Notamacropus eugenii: one gene and its partner. The protein of the gene in region 1 binds, or shares a complex with, the protein of each later gene. Links are inferred from orthologs where the notes say so. Each region holds a gene or a part of one and is shown on either strand. Other genes may lie near its edges.

Region 1 (9,491 bases):
CACTGGAGAAAACTGAATGGGGATAGAAAGGAATATACCTTATCCAGTGTGTACATGGCACACTTACACAAAAATTGACCATGTACTATGGCGTAAAAACTTCACAATCCAATGCAGAAAAGCATAAATATTAAATGTATCCTTTTCAGATCACGATGCAATAAAAATTATATGTAATGAAGGGACATGGATAGATAGACTAAAAGTTGGAAACTAAATAATCTAATCCTAAACAATGAGTGGGTCAAACAACAAATCATAGAAACAACAACTTCATCCAAGAGAATGACATTGAGACAACATACCAAAACTTGTTGGATGTAGTGAAAGTGGTTTTTAGGGGGAAATTTTACATCTCTAAATGTTCACATGAATAAAACAGAGAAAGAGGAGGTCAATGAATTGAGCATACAACTAAAAAAAGCTAGAAAAAGAACAAATTAAAAATCTCCAATTAAATACCAAATTAGAAATTCTGAAAACCAAAGAGGAGATTAATAAAATTGAAATTAAGAAAACTACTGAACTAATAAAACTAAGAGCTGGTTTTATGAAAAAAAAAACACCAATAAAATAGCTAAAACTTTGTTTAATTTGATTTTTAAAAAAGAATAAAACCAAATTATTAGTATCAAACATGAAAAGGGTGAATTCAACACCAATGAAAAGGCAACTAAAACAATAATTAGGAACTATTTTGCCCAACTGTATGCTCATAAATTTGACCATCTCAGTGAAATGGATAAATTTTTACAAACACTTAAATGGCCCAGATTGATGGAAGAGGAAATAAAATGCTTCAATAACCTCATTTCAGAAAAAGAAACTGAACAAACCATCAATGAAAAAGAAAAAATCTCCAGGGCCAGATGGATGTATGTACAAGTGAATTCTACCAAACGTTTGAAGAACAATTAATTCTAATACTATATAGAGTATTTGGGAAAATAGACAAAGAAGGAATACTACCAAATTCTTTTTATGATACAAATACAGTCCTGATACCTCAACTGGGAAGAGTCAAAACAGAGAAAGAAAAATGTAGACCAATTTCCCTAATGAATATAGATGCAAAAGTGTTCAATAAAATATTAGCAAAAAGATTACAGTGACTTACCATGAGAATGGTAAGTACATTATGACCAGGTAGGACTTATTACCAGGAATGCGGGGATGGAGGAGGATGGAGGATATAGCATCATTGCCCAACTGGAACTGATCATTATTACTACTCACAGACTATTGCGCCTCCTTTTTTCTCAGAGGCCCAATGACATCAGGAGGGTGAAGCCTTGACTTGCAAGTGAATTCGATATAAGTGAAACAGGGCTTGCAAAGTTACCAGCCTCGCTCTCTCCTCCCCAGTCACTGGAGTGTAGTGGCAAGACATAGGTCAGGACTTGGACCTAGAGGCGGCAGGTTCCCAGCCCCTGTAAATTTGGCCTCATATTTTAGAGAAAAAATTGAGATTTTTCACCATCCTCTTTCTCATATTATTCAGATGACTTCTGCTTCTATCTTCTTTAACTGTCTCAAATGATAAAGAAGGCTTTTTCCTTACCAAGGCTAACTCCTCTACCTGTTCAAGCAATTCCATTCTATCCTGTCTCCTCCAATATCTTGCTCCCTTTGCTATCCCCCCTCTTATTTATTTTTACCTTTCCCTTTTTACTGGCTCATTTCTTACTGCCTACAAACATGCCCCATGTTTTCCCCTTCTCAAAAAAACCAAACTCATCTGATCCTTCATCCACAGTAACTGTAATCCAGTATTTCTTCTGTCTTTTATAACTAAACTCTTCAAAAAGGCCCTCCACAATAGATGCTTCCATTTTCTCTTCTCTCACTTTCTTCTTAACCTCTTACAATATGGCTTCTGACATCATTCTACTAGCACTTCTCTCTCAAAGGTTACCAGTGATCTCTTAATTGCCTGATCCAATGGCCTTTTTTCAATCCTCCTTCTCCTTGATATCTCTGCAGTTTTTGAGACTGAGGATCACCCTCTCTTCCTTTCTCTAGATTTTTGGAACACTACATTCTTCTGATTTTCCTCCTTCCTATCTGACAGCTTCTTTTCATTCTCCTTTGCTGGATCCTCCTCCAGATCATGTCCTCTATCCATAGGTGTCCCTCAGGGTTCTTATCCTCTCTCCTTTTCTCTTCTCCTATACCACTTCACTTGGAGATCTCATCCGTTCACATGGATTAAATTACCATCTCCATGTTTGATTCTCAAGTCTACCTATTCTGTATCAACCTCTCTTCTCACTTTCTTTCATTTCCCATTGCTTTTTAGACATCTCAAAATGGATGTCCAAGTAGACACTAACTAAACATGTCCAAAACTCATTATTTCCTCTCCACCCCCTTCCCTGTAACTGTAGAGGGCAACACCATCTCTTTGACCCTCAGGCTCACATCCAAAGAGTTAGTAACTTCTATATCTCATATTCTCTATATATCCAAGCTATTGTCAAGGCTTATCAATTTCAGTTCTTCAGCATTTCTCACAGACATTCCTTTCTCTCCTTTGATACTACCATCACTATAGCATAGGCTCTTATCACGTCACACTTGGATAATTCCAATAGACTGCTGGTGGATCTGCCACCAAAGACTTATGACATATAAAAACTTCAAGAGACATAGTTTTGGATAATTATTTTATTAATCATGCCAGCAATAATTGCTCAGGGGCTTTCTTGAATATCATAGACCTCTCATGCAATCCACTCAATGTTTATGCCCTTGGAAGAGTGGGTGTACCTGAGGGTGACTATCAAATCTGATTGGTTAACAATCAATGTGAAGAATGAATATTATAATGAGAGATGGATCTATTCTAATGAGGGGCTGGGACTTGTGACTCTGATCACTCCTTTTTGGACATAGAACCATAGATTAAATTCTTTGTAAGGTTCTTTCGTTGAGTAGGTCAACACTTCCAAGATATCATCTCATCATCAGCCCTTTTCTTCAGAGAACTAAGCTTTGATCTAATCTCCAAATGAAGATGAGAAAAAATCACTGGTCTCCCTAATACTTGGTTATTTAATAATCATTTCTCTCAGACTTGAGGTCTTTCCCTAATCCAATTCATCCATATAGCCATTAAAGTGTTTTCCTAAAGCACTGTTTTGACCATGTCTGTCCCTTCCTCAAGAAACACCAGTGGCTACTGATAGCAGTCAGGATCAAATAAAAAAATGCTTTGCATAACCTACCCATTCCTACCTTTCCAAACTTCTTATGCCATACTCCTTGCCATGTATTCTTTGATCCAGTGATACTGGCCTCCTGGCTCTTCCAAAAATAAGGCACATCTCTTGGCTAAGGGCATTTTCTCCGGCTGTCCTCCATGCCTAGAATGTTTTCCCTCTTCAAAACTGCCTACTGACTTTCCTGGTTTCTTTTAAATCTCAACTAAAATCCCATCTTTTACAGGAAGCCTTTCCTAATTCTCTTAACTCCTAATGCCTTTCCTTTGTTAATTATTTCCCATTTTTCTTTATATATTTGTTTGTATGTTGCGTTCCCTATTAGACTGCAAATTCCCTGAGGGCAAGGATTGTCATTTTCCTCTTTTTGTTCCCTTTTTTAAGTCCTCCAGGACTCAGCCTAGTGTCCGGTATACATTAAGTGCTTAATAAATGATTATTGATTGATTGTAGCTGGCTCCAAATGAGGGACTCAGGAACTCTTTACCTCTCAAAATAATCAGGCTCCCTCCAAAGAAGGAAACATCTATCTCAGGATTGCTGCTTGAATAGCTTTATGCAGGGAATGAGAAACAATTGACAACAGGTAGCCAGGATCTGAGGCTTCAACTCGGGCTAACAATCAGGTAATCAGCCTAAGTCCTGCTATGTGCTGCCATAGGTTCTTGAGGTTGTAGGGGTGTGGAGAAAGTACATCTAGCAGAAGGGGAAAAGAACCTCTCTCCTTTCTCTTCACCAGAATTTCCAGGCACACGTTATAAGAGTACAGGATTATATATTTAGAGTCATATGCCTTCCTGTTCCAGATGAGGAAAATGAGGCTAAAAGAGCTGAAGTGATTAGCACAGCTATGAAGTGGCAGAACTGGGATTAGAACCTATGTCCTGTTTCCAAATTCTGCATATTTTTTTTTCAATTTTCCCATGGTAACAACTGTATAGGACAGACCTAGAGCTGAAATTCCCTCTCCCTGAAACTGACTAGGTTCTTCCTGACTCAATGGTCTTTTTTTTTTTTTTTTGAAAGAAGGACCCTCTGCAGCCCCAAGAAATCAACAAAGTTAATTGGCGTCCTAAAGCTATGAGGTGTCTCAGTTCTGTGCCGAATGGGGGTCTCAGGCAGGAGGCAGAAGAGTCCAAGTCTGCAGCATGATGCTCCAGTGGGGTATGTTTTATCCCGAGAAGTTCAGGGGGCCCTCTCCTTAAAGGAGTAACACAAATATGTATTACATATAAATATATGTGTATATAAACATATGTGTATACACAACACATAAGTCATAATGCATACACACATATGTATATATATATGTATATGTCCTCAACCTCTCAAACAATTTGAAGTAGTCTTTATTAGCAAATTAAAGGTAATGAAATACTGATCAGTTTCCTCGTGCTGAAAACGGATCTCCCAGCTCTTAACCCCAAGAACCTGTAATTCTGATTTGTTACCACAACAGGCAAACTTGTAAAAGCACCCAGAGCAGTTTCTCCCCACCCACCCTTTCTTTCTCCCCGGACTACAATTCCCGTCAGCCTTTGTGACTCTCTTCTGTAGTCCCTGTCCACACCCCTTTTTGGCGCACAGCTTGATGGGAGGGAGTAAGTAAAGGGGCGGACCAAGTCCAATGGGTGCTGGCTCTAGAGGAGGAGGAAGAAGAGGGGGAGGAGGAAAGCGACTAGAAGGTGGAGGTGAACTCCGGGCCCGGCCTCATTCATTGCTTCTGCCCGGCGGGTCAGGGGCCTTGCGTTCCAAGAACCATGGAGGCGCTGATCCCAGTTATCAACAAGCTCCAGGACGTTTTTAACACCGTGGGCGCCGACATCATCCAGCTACCCCAGATCGTCGTAGTTGGAACCCAGGTAATGCTGGGGCCTGGGCTGGCTGGGCCGCTGCACTACAGCAGGCTAGGCCGCCTCTAGGCCTCAGGGCAGGGCCAGGCGGGGCAGGGTGGGGTTGGGTGGAGCTGGGGGGCCCGGCCTTTTGCACCCTGCAGCTACTCTTTCATCCGGTTGTTTGGGCCTCCCTGGGGACTGGGAGGGATCCTGGTAGGCGGAGTCGCCTCGGCTCGGCGCGGCGCCGGTCCGGGGAGCTATGGTGGTGTGGAATGAGCAGGGAAGGTGCCCTGGGGAGGGCCCTCGGTTTCCAAGGGCAACTGAGGGACAAGCGGGGTGCGTGGAAGGGGAAGCCGCCCAGGAGCTCAGGATCGGTGCCCGAGTTTGCTCGGCAGTCTCGGTGCTTGGTTTTCCTTTTCTCACCTCTCGGGCTCACCCTGGGCCGCAAAGCGAATTATGGATCAGAGCAGCAGAATGTGAGAGGGCTTCAGGGTTCATCCGAGCCTTGTGAAGTTTCACCTTCCGGGATTCTTGAAAAGCTTGGCCATTACGCGCACGCGCACGGGGCACCATCCCCCATCCCCACTCCCACGCTGGCGCGCACGCTGTCCCCTACACTGGCCTCACACCATAACACTCCCCCCCATTACCCCCCGCTGTGGTGCTGGCGAGGGTCACCTGGGTTCGCCTCTGCAGGGCGTGGTTTTTACCTTCTCTGATAAAACACTTTACTGCCATAAATGTTCTTCCCACTGTGAGACTGGGCAATCCACGCTGGCCTGCTCACAGAATTGTGGAAGCGAATGCTTTAAAGTATAGGAAGTCATATTCCCTAATGTGCCTTAGTGAATTAGGGAGAGTGGAAAGATGGAAAGGTCTCTGTCTTGTTTTTCCCTAGTACTTTGCTGGAATAAGGGGTGAAGTAGAATCGTATGTTGGTTTTTGTTGTGAACTGAAGACCTGAGAAGCTATCTACATGTTTTCGTTTCCTAATAACAGTTCATGAGAGTATATTTATAGTGCGTTTATTTATGATCTGTATAATATATATGGAAAGAAATAGGTAATTTGTTTTTGAGGGGGAGAGAAGATAAGGAAAGGCTTTATATGGAAGGGGACACGTGAACTTGGAAAACAAAAAGGGCAAACTCATGGAGATTGGAAATGGAGTATTCTGTAGGAGAGACAGTGGTGATAAGACTGAAATAGGTATTCTGGGGCCAGGTTGTGCAGGGCTTTAAGTGCCAAACACAGAAGTTTGTATGTGATCCTGGAAATGATTGGGAGGAGACACTGGAATTTGATATGGGAGGTAGGTTAGATTTGGGCTTGAGGAAAATTATTTTGACAGCCTTGTAGAAGAGGAAACTTAAAGAGTGTGAGCAGTTGGGAGGGGTGGTGTGGGCCCTGACCAGGAGTGGTGACAGTGAGATTAGAGAGGAGGAGACAATGTGAGAATTTTTGGAGATAGTTGGATTTGATACAGAGAAAATACAAAGACAATATTGCTTCAAAATGGTAACTACAGTAACCATTAACCAATTTCCCCCCTCTAATCTGCGAAGGGACTTTTAAACAGCATGTAGACCAAATTGTAGAGTTTGACTGAAAAGGGATCTTAGAGGTTAGTTGTGCAAGTTCCTTCATTTTACTCATAAGGAAACAAGCTCAGAGAGATAAATGACTTGCTAAAGATCATATAATGGTAGAACCATGAATAAGAATCCTTGCCTCCTGGTTTTTAAACACTGTTCTTTCAACCCTATATTATAGAATTAGTGGTCATAATATTCAGTCAATGTGACAGCATGGTGAAGTGCACAGTGAGCCGACTTTGGGATCAAGAAAATCTGATTTCCAAGTCCCTCTTTTGACATATGCTGACTTAACTATATGACCCTGGGCATGTCCTTAACTTTTCTGTGCTACTCTCTAAGTATTCTAACATTTGCAAAGTTATATTGGTGGGAGGGAGTGTCCTCCTTCCCTTTGTAAGGAACTCATGTTCCCTACAAAAATAAAACCCCAGGTTTGGTTAAATACAAAAAAAGTTGAATTTTGCATATATATATAGAGAGAGAGTGAGATACATAATAATTGAGACAGCTAGATGGTGCAGAGGATAGCATGCTGGGCTTGGAATCAGGAAGACTTATCTTTGTAAATTTAAATCTGACCTCAGATCACTTAGTAGATGTGCTGATCCTAGACAAGTTATTCAAACCTGTTTGACTCAGTTTTCTTATTTGTAAAATGAGCTGGAGAAGGAAATGATAAACCACTCACGTATCTTTGTCAAGAAAATACCAAACGGTCATGAAGTCAGAAGTCATTGAACAACAAGAACATGTAATAATTAATGCTTGTATTAATAATTCTGTGAAACTATAAGTTCTTAAAGTACCTTTTGAGATATTAAAGGAATAAGTCATCTTCAGGTTTCAGTAAATTTTATTGTTTACCATTGTTTTCTGAATTTGCGATTTTAAGGACCCTTCCATTTTATAGTCTATATTTAAGAATTTTAATAGTTACATAGTATCATGGGGAACTATTTTGGAACTGTTTCCTGGCTGTAAAAGGCCACTGCGAACCAGAAACTTTCCATCAATTTTAAAGCTCTGTGTATATAGGAGAAATATGAACTTAGCAAGAAGACAAAGAATCAGGCATATAATGTGTCAACATAAATAGTTTAAGAACAAGAAGGATTTATCTTACACTTAATGGAGTTTATTTCTCTCAGTATACTGATGAATATATTCATGAACTAGCCATTAAATTGGGAGGAGCTATGAGAAAAGAGAAAAAAAAACCTTTGTGAAAACCAGTGACTTCTTGAAAAAATCTATAATTGATGCCTCCATTTCTTAGATCATGCATTTAGATCTCTAAGGGTCATGTATTCCAACCATTTCATTTTAGATATGAAACTGAGGGTCAGAGAAGGTTAGTGACTTGCCCAAGGTTACACAGCCATTATTTGTCAGAGGTGAGCCTTAAACCCAGGTCTACTGGACTCTGGAGCCAGCTCTCTCTCCAAATGCTACAGTCTCATAACAGTGATTTATTAGATAATTGATATTAAATACCAATACACTTGATTAAAATTGCCTTGTAGTTATTTACATTAGTACATGAAATATCACATTTATTTTTACATATTTTATGTAGCTGAATTTTTTGGGATTTACTACTCACTTGTAGCTTACATAGTCCCATCCAGAATCATATTTAAATGTTTCCCCATTAATTACTAAATTGCGTCATTTAAGCTCTGATCCCTCACCCCAGCTTAATTGAATATTTTAATAAGCTAGAGAAACCCCCTTCTATAAGTGGTGGCTCATATCTTTATATATGAGAACTCCTGATCTGCTCAGTTAATTACTGGCTACATATAATTTGTTAATGTTGCCAGTCATAACACAGACAGGTAAATATTTACAATGTTTTAGCTGTGAGAGTATCACAGCTAGAATCACTTCAAACCATTTAACTGCAGATGTCTTTGCTTCTAAAAACACAGGCCTTTCTTTAAGGATATCAATTAAAGTCCTTTCTCAAGAATTCTCTCTGCAAGATAGAGAGTTCCATAAATAAAAAGGTCTCTTCATTCTCTTTTCTTTGCCTTCTTACAGTTTCTTTTAGCTTTGAAACTTCTCGTGATGTACTCTCTCAGTTTGTTCATAGCATGACCATTAAACTGTAGGTGTACTTCACTCCATTTCTTGTCAGTCATCACAGTCAACTAATACCAGAGTACAACATACACTTGCCATTATGTCAAGATGCTGTGTCTTTTATAACAGTAACAGTAGTTAGAGCTTTTGTAGAAGAGGCTACAAGAGCTAGAATTACACTGATATTTTTATTCACCTTCATTTCTCTCCCTGCCTTTTAGGATTCCTTTTAATAAAGACTTTAAAAAGGAAGGGGGAAAAGGCATTTAAGGTAAACCCGGGAAAGGAGGTAACATTTTGTTACATTTGTAACATTTTCTGTTGTAAGTTGATCACTCCCACTCCAGCCATATTGTGAAGGATAATATGATTTCATTCTCTTAAAATTTTTTTAATGGCATGACTATTTATATTCATTTTATCAGTTTTAAACTAATTTTGGTATATGGTATAAGTCTGACAAATCCTTTTATTAAGGGAATTTGTTCTGTGAAGTTTGGATTCAGTTAAAGGACTGCACTTGAGGACCTAGAGGGCCACATGTTGCATCAAGGCTGCAGGTTCCTGGCTCCTGGTATAAGAGGTTGATCTAGATCTAGTTTTTGCCAAGCTGCTTTCTAAATTTCTTAGAAATCTTGTCAGAAAAGGGAGTGTCCCCCTCCCTCCGCAAAGTAATTTCTTATTTATTGTGTTTTCCAGACACCTAGCTACAATTTGTTTTAAAAGCGATGTCTTCATTATACTGTAGTCTA
Region 2 (8,883 bases), about 120 Mb from region 1:
GAAATTGACATAAAATATTGATGAACTTCTCTGGGCAACCAAATTTTGACATAATTTTCCATAAGCCCTCACGACTAATAGTGTCAAAGATCTTGGTCAGATCTACAAATGTTGTGTACAGACCTCTGTTCTGCTCCTGGCATTTCTCTTGGAGCTGTTGGGCAGCAAACACCATATCAACTGTTCCTCGGCCCTTTCCGAAGCCACATTGGCTCTCAGGGAAATGACCATCTTCCAGGTGAAGGTTCAGCCTGTCAAGGAGGACTCTGGCAAGAATCTTCCCAGCAATGACTAAGAGACTACCAGACTTGGCAGGGAGTCCTAGGGAGGAATGGAGTTGGAAACAGTAGCAGCAATGGTCATTTGCTACTGAAGACTTGTGCATCACATGACCTTCTATTTATGTGAACACAATAAAACTTTGTGGACGCACCCTGGCAACAAACCCTGGCATCTAATAGACTATGTGATTGTAAGAAGAGACAGACAGGATGTGACAGTGAGAATTGATCACAGACTTATCCTCTCCTAGCTAAATATTCACATTCAACAAAAGGGGTATCCCCAAGGCAAAATGACTATCGAATTCATGTCAGCAAATTAGAGCTCATCTCTGAGTGAAAACAGTTTGTGACTAATTTGGAGGGAAAGTTGTGTTAACACACAGTTGGCAACAGTGGGGCAGAAAGGGAGTGGGCAGCTTTCAGAGATTTGGTGTATAGTACTGTATTTGCTCATCTGGGTCAGAACACTCGCAAACACCAAGACTGGTTTGATGAAAATGATAGGGAAATTCAGAAACTGCTAAACAAAAAACGAGAACTTCACAAGGTTTACCAGCAGGACAGTTCATTCATCTCTAAGAAGGCAGCATTTAATTCCATCAAAACTGAAGTACACGCAAAGCTTAGAAAGATGCAGGATTCTTGGCTCGGCAGGAAGGCAAATGAAATTCAGTTTTATGCTGACAGTAACAATCCAAAACACTTTTGTGATGCCCTGAAGGTTATTTATGGGACAAAGATCTACGATTCATTTCAACTACTCAGTGCTGATGGAAGCACATTGATTAGTGATAAGGACATGATCTTAGGGAGATCATGGGCTGAACACTTCCATAAGGTTCTCAACAGACCATCATCAATCAATGCTGAAGCCAGTGACCATTTACCTCAGGTTGAAATCAATCCCTCCCTAACCGAAGAAGTAGTAGGCTCCTTTCCTGGGACAAAACACATGGTGCTGATTCTCTTCCAACTGAGATTTACAAGGTAGGGGATTCATTGCTCATACAAAAGTTGACTGAAATTTTCCAGAAATATGGCAAGAGGAGTTTATCCTCCAGGAGTTCAAGGATGCCTCCACTGTCTATCTCTATAAAGGTAAAGAGAATAGATTGTCCTATAACAATTACAAGGAAGGGTGTCTTCTCAGATTCCTTAAGAGTCTAAGCCAATGCTCAGATTCCTTAAAAGTCTGGCCAATGTGGTAGATTTTTAGAATTATGTTCACCCAGTTGGTGTTCTAATAAAACTTGTCATTGGCTGAAAGAAGGTTTGGGATAGAGTTTATTTGGGCAGGACTCACTTGTCGCTATTTTGGGATCCTAGCACCCCTGAAACTCAACTAGTATTGTAACTTTTATTACATTGGTATGATCCAGCTGTGAATACTGAATATCCTTTCCACTATTTAAGTTGTTCTTTATCTCTTTAAGAAGTGTTTGTTTTATAACTGTATTGATTCAAGTATTGGGTGTTCTTTGGTAGAATGACTCCCAAATATTTAAATTTCGTAATTATTTTGAACGAAATTTCTCTTTCTATTTTTGCTTTCTGGATTTTTCCTCCTATACAGAAATGCTCTTGATTTTTTGAGTTTATTTGGAAGCCTGCAACTTTATTGAAATCATACATTGTTTTTCAATAGTTTGTACTGTTTGCCTCTTCAGCCCATATGGCTTTAACTATCATCCTTCTGCAGATGAGTTCAAGGTCAATATATCCAGTCCCAGTTTCTACCCTAAATTCCAGCCATGAATAACTAATTGCCCAATGGACATTTCAAATCAGTTGTCCCAAAAATATCTTGAACTCAACATCCCCAAAGTTAAAATCATCTTTTCCACTCTTCCAAATTTCCCTTCTTTCTGTCAAAGGTACCATTATCCTTCCAGTCTCATGGGTTTGTAATTTCAGCATCATCCTCAACTTTTCACTCTCCTTTACTCTATATATCCAATCAGTTGTAAAATCATGCCATTTTTACCATCACATCTCTTACATCTGACCCAATTTCTCACTCATACAACTACCAACGTTTGTTCAGATTCTAATCACCTCTCACCTAGATTATTACAGCAGCCTCAATCCTCTCCCCACTCCTGTCCATCTTCCAAACCCATAGCCCAAGTAATTTCCTTATTCTATTTGACTCTCCTACTCAACCAGCTCCAGTGGTTTCCTATTGCCAATAGGATAAAAATATAAACTTCTCTAGACTCACCAGACATTTATCCCCCTGCTACACCATGAGATCCAGCCCAACTGGAATTTTAATTGTTCCTCACACACAATGTCTTATCTTCCTGCCTTTGCACTGGTTGTCTGACCCACATGTCTAGAATGTATTTTCTCTCTTCTTAACTCTGCCAATTAGAGACCCTTACTTCCTTTAAGAGGCAGTTCAAGCACCTTCTGCATAAAGCCTTTCTTGACTCCCTCAATCATTACTGCTCAAGTTCCCAAAGTACCTTGGATTTAACTACTTTGTATATATTTGTACTTATTCATGTTATATATGTTATCTATTTCTACATGCATTTGTTCTCTCCCTCTTTGGAATGTATGCTACAACTTTGTAAATGGAAAAAATAACAAAAGATTCAAAATTAAATGCTAACCTTGTCCCCAAATAAAAGATATGAGAAAGCAACTTTTTTGTAGAAGTTGTCAGGACTATGGGTGTGGAACACTGCATATAATGTCAGACTTCTTTCCTTGTCCTGATTGGTTTAACTGTTATTTTTTTCTCTTTTTAATTCTGCACTATAAGTAATGGCTCTCTGAGAGATGAAGGACATACACTAAAAAGTACAGATTATGAAAAACAAAAAAAACCAATAACAATATATACATATTTTTGAAAGTTGGCTCTTTGGGACTCAGATACACTCTGGCCTTTGCATGGGGTCAGGATTTGATCTCAGTATAACAGACTCTCACCATAGAAGTAAGGATCCTCAGAGGTTGGTCCCAACCCTTTACCTGAACAGTAATTTTCCCCCACATTCCTAATGGAGGGACAAGCTTGTCTCAGAAATTTGCTTTTCACATTGATAATAGTGGTCCAAGTTATTGCTGTCCACTTCTTTTACCTGTAAAGTGCCTGGCATGGTTGGCCTTACAATACCCACCTAAAAAGAAGAGACAGAGTTGATAAACCATCACATTAGGGGAGGGAAATATCAGTCTGGAGCATAGGGTAAGAGTAAAACTTTTTTTATTTTGTGGACCTGACAGGTAGGGGCTCTGGAACCTCTCCCCCCGCCCCCAACTCTCCCTGAACTTTCCATACGGTCAAGTCTCCGTCGGTCACCTGAGGCATCCCAGTCATCCCCTCATCTGGCCTTTCACTATGGCCTACACCCAATCTCCCAGTTCTCTGTTGCCCAGCTCCCCACTGTCTGTTACCTCTGGTTCACCCCCAGCCACCTCCCACCCTTGAGTCTATCTAGACCCCATTCTCTTGGTCTAGGTCCCTGCTTTCAGGCTCCAGTCACTCCAGCCTACCGGCTCCTGCCATCAAAATCCTCCCTAGACCCCGCTCCTTCGGTCACCCCAGCCTACTGGCCACTTCTAGAGCCTGATCCTTCCCACGGTCTTCCTGTACATAAGCTCCAGCACGCCTCCAAGAAATTACCAGTACTTGGATCCCTTAAGAGTCTAGCCTGGATGGCGAATCTTCAGAATCACACCCTTCTACCTGCGCTCTAACAAACCTTATCTTTGGCTGAAAGCTTGGGGCCAATTCATTCAGGCAGGCCCTGCCCGTCTCATCTCGGGGTCCCAGCACCCCTAAACCTCAACAGACCCAACTTGGGACGGAATTCCCAGTAACCGTCCCCATCCGGGGCAAGGAGAGGCTCCGCTTCCTTTCTGGGACCCTCTCCTCCTCTGCGTCACCTCCCCAGGTCCCCGGCGTCCCCCACCTTCCCAGGGAGCCCTCCCAGTTCTCCTCAATGCCGGCGCCTGCCTTCTGGGCCTCCCCAATTTGTCCCAGTGGTTTCAGGTTTTCTTCTCGTTAGACTACACGTGCCTTGAGGACAGGGGCTGCTGTTCGGCCTTTTTCTGTGTCACTGTCCAGACCACCGAGGGATTCAGAGCCGTGTGGTCCCGGGGGAGCCGAACCTTGGGCCCGGAGCCGCGCCCAAGGCGCGTCCGAGGCGCCTCCAGCACCGGCGCTCGGGGCCGGCCTTTAGCCATGAAGTCACCAAGCCCCGACTCCTCCTACTGCCACGTGCTCCAGGCCTAGTTCTCGAGAGCCCGGAGGTGACGTCACAGACGCGTTTCATCACAACGACCACTTCCGCCGTAGGAGGAAGCGCAGGCATTCCAAGCCGGAATCCCCACGGGCTGCCGCGGTCCTTCGGGCCGCTCTTTGAATCCTGTGCCTTTAACGCCGAAGACACGCCCCCGCAGCCCCCGGGGACGCCTCGCCCCGGCCGGGAATGCCCGTTAGGGAGGGGGCGTGGCCTCTGGGTGATTGGCCGTTCGAGGTCTGTTTTGGAACGTGCGGGACGGGAAGGCATGCCTCTGATTGGGCGCATAGGTAGTCCGTCCGGCCCGAGCCGGGCGTCAGGGTTCCGCCCCCTTGGCTTCGAATTTGCGGCTGCGCGCTGGGAGGAGAAGGTTGGAGGTTAGAGAGGGGGCCGGCCCTGGGTCTAGGAGTCGGGGGAGAGGAGGAGGAGGACGAGGGACTCACCGTGGGCCGGGCCTTCTCTTCCCAGGTGATGCGGTGAAGCGGCAGTGCAGGTAGGAAGGGCCTTCCGCTGTCCGAGGGGCCCCAAAGGCCGACGTCCGGGGCCTTTCCGGGGCGCGGGGGAGCGTGTGGAGGTGCGAGGAGGGAGAGGAGCCCTTCGCCCAGCAGGGGGTCCTTGTCCCGCACCGGGGCCCAGGGGGAGGGGAGAAGGGAGCCTCCGCGGTGACTGCGCCTGCGCCGGCCCCGCCGGAGCCCGAGGCTGAGAAGGATGCTCCCACCGCCCTCCCCGCCCCTTACACCAGGGGCGCCCCCGGTGCCTGCGGGGATCCGACTTGACCGGGGCGGGGCACGCGTCCTAGGTGGGCCCCGAGGCCCTCCTGCCCTGGAAAGGATAGGAGGTAAGCCGGCATCGGAGGTAGAGGAAGAGGGATCTTGGGGAGATCGCAGATCCAGAGCTGGGACGTTCAGAGAGGTCAAGGGACCTGCCCAAGGTCACAGAGCGAGGCCGCCCCTCTTTAGCCACGACTTCCGGGGTGCTAGCCTGCAAAGCCTGGGCTGGGAAGCCTCCCTGGACGGACCAGGGCCGGGTCTGCGAATTACGGACGTGGAGGTCTGCCTGGGGGAGCGGGCAGAGGTTTGGGTGGGGGCGGAGGAGGGGTGAGAGGAGTTGGGAGTGGTCCAGGTGCGACTTGGGGCTGGGGGTCAGGAATCAATGCCCCCCATTCTGTTGTGGTTCTTAGGTGAGTCCTAGGTAATGGACTTTAGAGAGCCGGTAATCCGGAGCCTGGTTTTGCTATATAGGATCCATCCATTTTGTAGTAAGGGAAATTCAGTCCAGAGAAGGGGCGGCAAACTGCCCAAGGTCAGGCAGCTACTTGTACTCCTAGCAAAGCTGGGAGGAGTTTAGTCCTTTACACCAAAGAGGGCCCCCTTAGTTGTTTGGAGTGTTTGCTAGAGTCAGCTTTGTTTTTAACTGGGAGGGTCAGAACTCCTGTACTTCCCACGCTGACTGGTTCCTCTTGCCCAGCAGCTGAATTGTGGGCCTGCGGCTGAGCTGTTTAGACTCACTGTGGGGAACTGGATACTGACGGCCCGATTGTCCTCATGAACCCCAGGGGGACATTAAGAACCCTACTTGGGCTTAGCCTGGCTCCCTCTTCCCCAGCCTTACCTGCTGGGAATGGGAGTGGCCTGGAAGATCCTTTCTGAGGATACTGGAGCTTTCCTGATAAGTTCTCACCCTCTGAAGTACAGTCTGTGTGCCTGTGAGAGAGGGCCCCTTGGGGTGAGTGACTGTTCTCCAGAGTGGCTGATACAGCTCTAGGATTACCGGCCAACCACTGTCCACCAGTCTCTGAAAATACAGGTCATGTTTGCACAATTATCCTCTGCAGAAAACTAGAATGTCTTAGCTTCAAGGAACCATCTAGCCTAACCCCTTCTTTATACAGAGAAGGAAATTAAGGCACCTCAGAGTGGGAAATGACTTGTTTGTGGCCACACAGTTAGTAGTAGAAACTGCAATCCAGGTCTCCTGACTCTTGGTTTGTTGTTTTTTGCACTATTCTGGAGTCTCCTTTAAAGAACACTAGAGCACTTCCTAGGTTTAGACTTCTTGGTGCAGTGACTGGAATCAGAAAACCTGAGTTCCAGTCCCACCTCAGATCCTTAATACCTTTTTGTTGTGACCCTTTAAAAAGTTAGAGAGACATAATTTCTGGGTAATTTAATCATTTTATTAATAAGGCTAGCAGGTTATTAATAAAAGAATGGCCATTTGTCCATCCCTCTTCTACATTTCAGAGAGGAGGTGTTCCCCAGGGGTGCCTGCTCAACCCTGATTGGTTAATCAAATGGGAGGTAGGCTATCTTGGGGTACTTGACCTAGGTCACTCAAATCTTGGTCAAAGAGACATTAGTTAATATCACCTGTCTTGATAATAGGGAGAGTCAACATTTTCTCTGGACGTATTTGTAAGCTAACATAATAAGCAGGAATGCATCCTTTAGCCCAAACTTAGAATTTCTTTTACTGTCTGATTAGATCTTGGCCTGGATAAATCTCTTAAGAGAAATTTCCCACACTGGTTGATTTCTAGATGAGGAAGTAGAAAAGGGGAAGAACTTTGGTCCTAATATTATAATTATTAAAGTATAAGAGAGAAATATTCATTTCTCACATTGTCCTTGAAGTAAATAACATAATCTCCCTTACTTTCCAATCTGTAAAATGAAGAGTTTTGGACTGGAAGCTGCTTAGGTCCCTTCCAGCTCCAAGTCTATAAACGTTTGACCTCATCCTGCTACAGTGAGAAAAATGGACTAAGGGATGGAACGTAGGAGCAGTTCTGTGAGAGGGTATTAGCATTGGACCAAAGACCCCAGTGAGTACTTCTAAGTACTGTATTTGTCCATTTTAGCCCCACCTTTTCTCTGATTTTGGAATCTTGTGAGAAGCCTCCAAGCAAAAAATCCTATTTTATTTTACCATCTGCCTGGTAAAAAAGTAGAGTTGATACTATTTCATTTGGCTCCAGCGTAGAGAAGTACAGCCCAGGGTAGGTGTGCTCTTGTCTCTCTGTGAATTTGATATTAACAAAAGCTTTGCTTTTGACTCTTTTTGATTGAATCATTAGAACTGAGTGGAACAGGACCTGATTACTTCCTTGAATCCCATCAAAAACCTTTGTGTGGGAGTCTGGGATTCTCAGGCAGAAACCATTTTCAGGGAGAGCAGAACAAGATTCTGGGCTGTTGGAGCAAGCATAGATTGAATGGATTGAAGAGATAACTGAGCTGTGACAGAGAAGAAACATTGGCTTTCTTTTGGGGCTTGTAAGGCCTGTCTATCCACAAACACTATTATCTGCTATTGTGTTACCCACATGTGCCAGTAAGCTAAATTTTGCTTCAGTCACAGACACCCCACTTAGATATAGATGTACATTCTAATAGTTTGATTTAGTCAAAAAGCATTCTTACCCAGTCTTGGCCTCTGCCAATGGGGTGCTTTCAAATCCCCTTAGGAGAGGATACCACTTCCATAGTGTTTTCCTATCTGTCCTTATCACAGTGCTAATAAAGATGGAGGTCAGGAATTATCCTAGATTTTACAGTATAGAAAGATGAGAAGTGTTTTGCCTAAGGCCATACATTAAGGTTGACATAGAGCCAAGACTTGAGCTAAGAATCCCTTCGTTTTCCTGTGTTCCTCCCTTAAGAGTTATGACTTTGGGCAGAGCAGGTGGCAGTGGTTCTAGCTTCCTGTACACCACACCACAAGAGCCACCCAGGCTCTATTTTTAGTCTCTGAAAGGCAAGGGTCATGGCAAAAATACTTGTGGGGGCTTGAGCTCTCTCTGCCTGATTCATTTCTCTGGCATTGATGAGTGGTAGTATTTGGTTACCTGGACAACTTCACTCAAGGCCCAGATGCCTTGAGAATGAGTAAATCATAGACCCTGAGAACTGAAAGGGAGCATGAGAGGTCAGCCCGTCCAGCTCTTCCCCTCACGATGTCCAGAGTGACAATCCCATAGCCTCTAGTTTCTAGATTTGATCAGGAAATTCTCTGATCTAGGGGAGTTAATCTTACTGTTGTTGCCTGAGTCCTTCCTCCATGTCGGTACTCGGTGGGTGTACCTTTTTTGTTGGTTTTTGAGCTCTTTATAGTATTGGCTTTCATCCTGCTTTTCCTGAAGGTCCTGGGAGAGTGTGTGTTTGGGGAGTGAGAGGGGGTGGCTGGCGTTCATTTATCAAGGGCCAAATGTGGGGACAGAACAATCCTTAAAACCAGCTGTTCTCACTTTTTTCTCCCCAGTTCTATGCCAAAGGTACGTTTAACCTCTCCTTCCTGGATTACCAGGAATCTGATGATGTCTACATATCTGTCAGCATTTCAAT

What was found.
Region 2: the proteins of DNM1L (region 1) and MIEF2 are in contact, whole or in part, in a cryo-EM structure (PDB 5WP9), measured with the Homo sapiens proteins. The link is inferred for Notamacropus eugenii from reciprocal best matches to the Homo sapiens genes DNM1L and MIEF2. Residues at the interface, in NP_036192.2 of Homo sapiens: Asp190, Met191, Ala192, Thr193, Ser194, Leu197, Lys198, Ile199, Arg201, Glu202, Gly223, Thr224, Asp225, Asp228, Arg233, Val234; in NP_631901.2 of Homo sapiens: Val213, Asp214, Thr215, Val216, Arg218, Arg226, Leu230, Arg235, Val245, Gly246, Tyr248.

Annotation. Positions count from the first base shown.
Region 1 is NC_092874.1:214,537,559-214,547,049, reverse strand, and holds the start of DNM1L (dynamin-1-like protein), read left to right. Parts: upstream 1-5,300; 5' UTR 5,301-5,315; coding exon 5,316-5,438; intron 5,439-9,491. UniProt on the Homo sapiens protein: Functions in mitochondrial and peroxisomal division.
Region 2 is NC_092874.1:335,797,052-335,805,934, forward strand, and holds the start of MIEF2 (mitochondrial dynamics protein MID49), read left to right. Parts: upstream 1-4,576; 5' UTR 4,577-4,808; coding exon 4,809-4,917; intron 4,918-5,008; coding exon 5,009-5,033; intron 5,034-5,225; exon of another isoform or gene 5,226-5,378; intron 5,379-8,883. UniProt on the Homo sapiens protein: Mitochondrial outer membrane protein involved in the regulation of mitochondrial organization.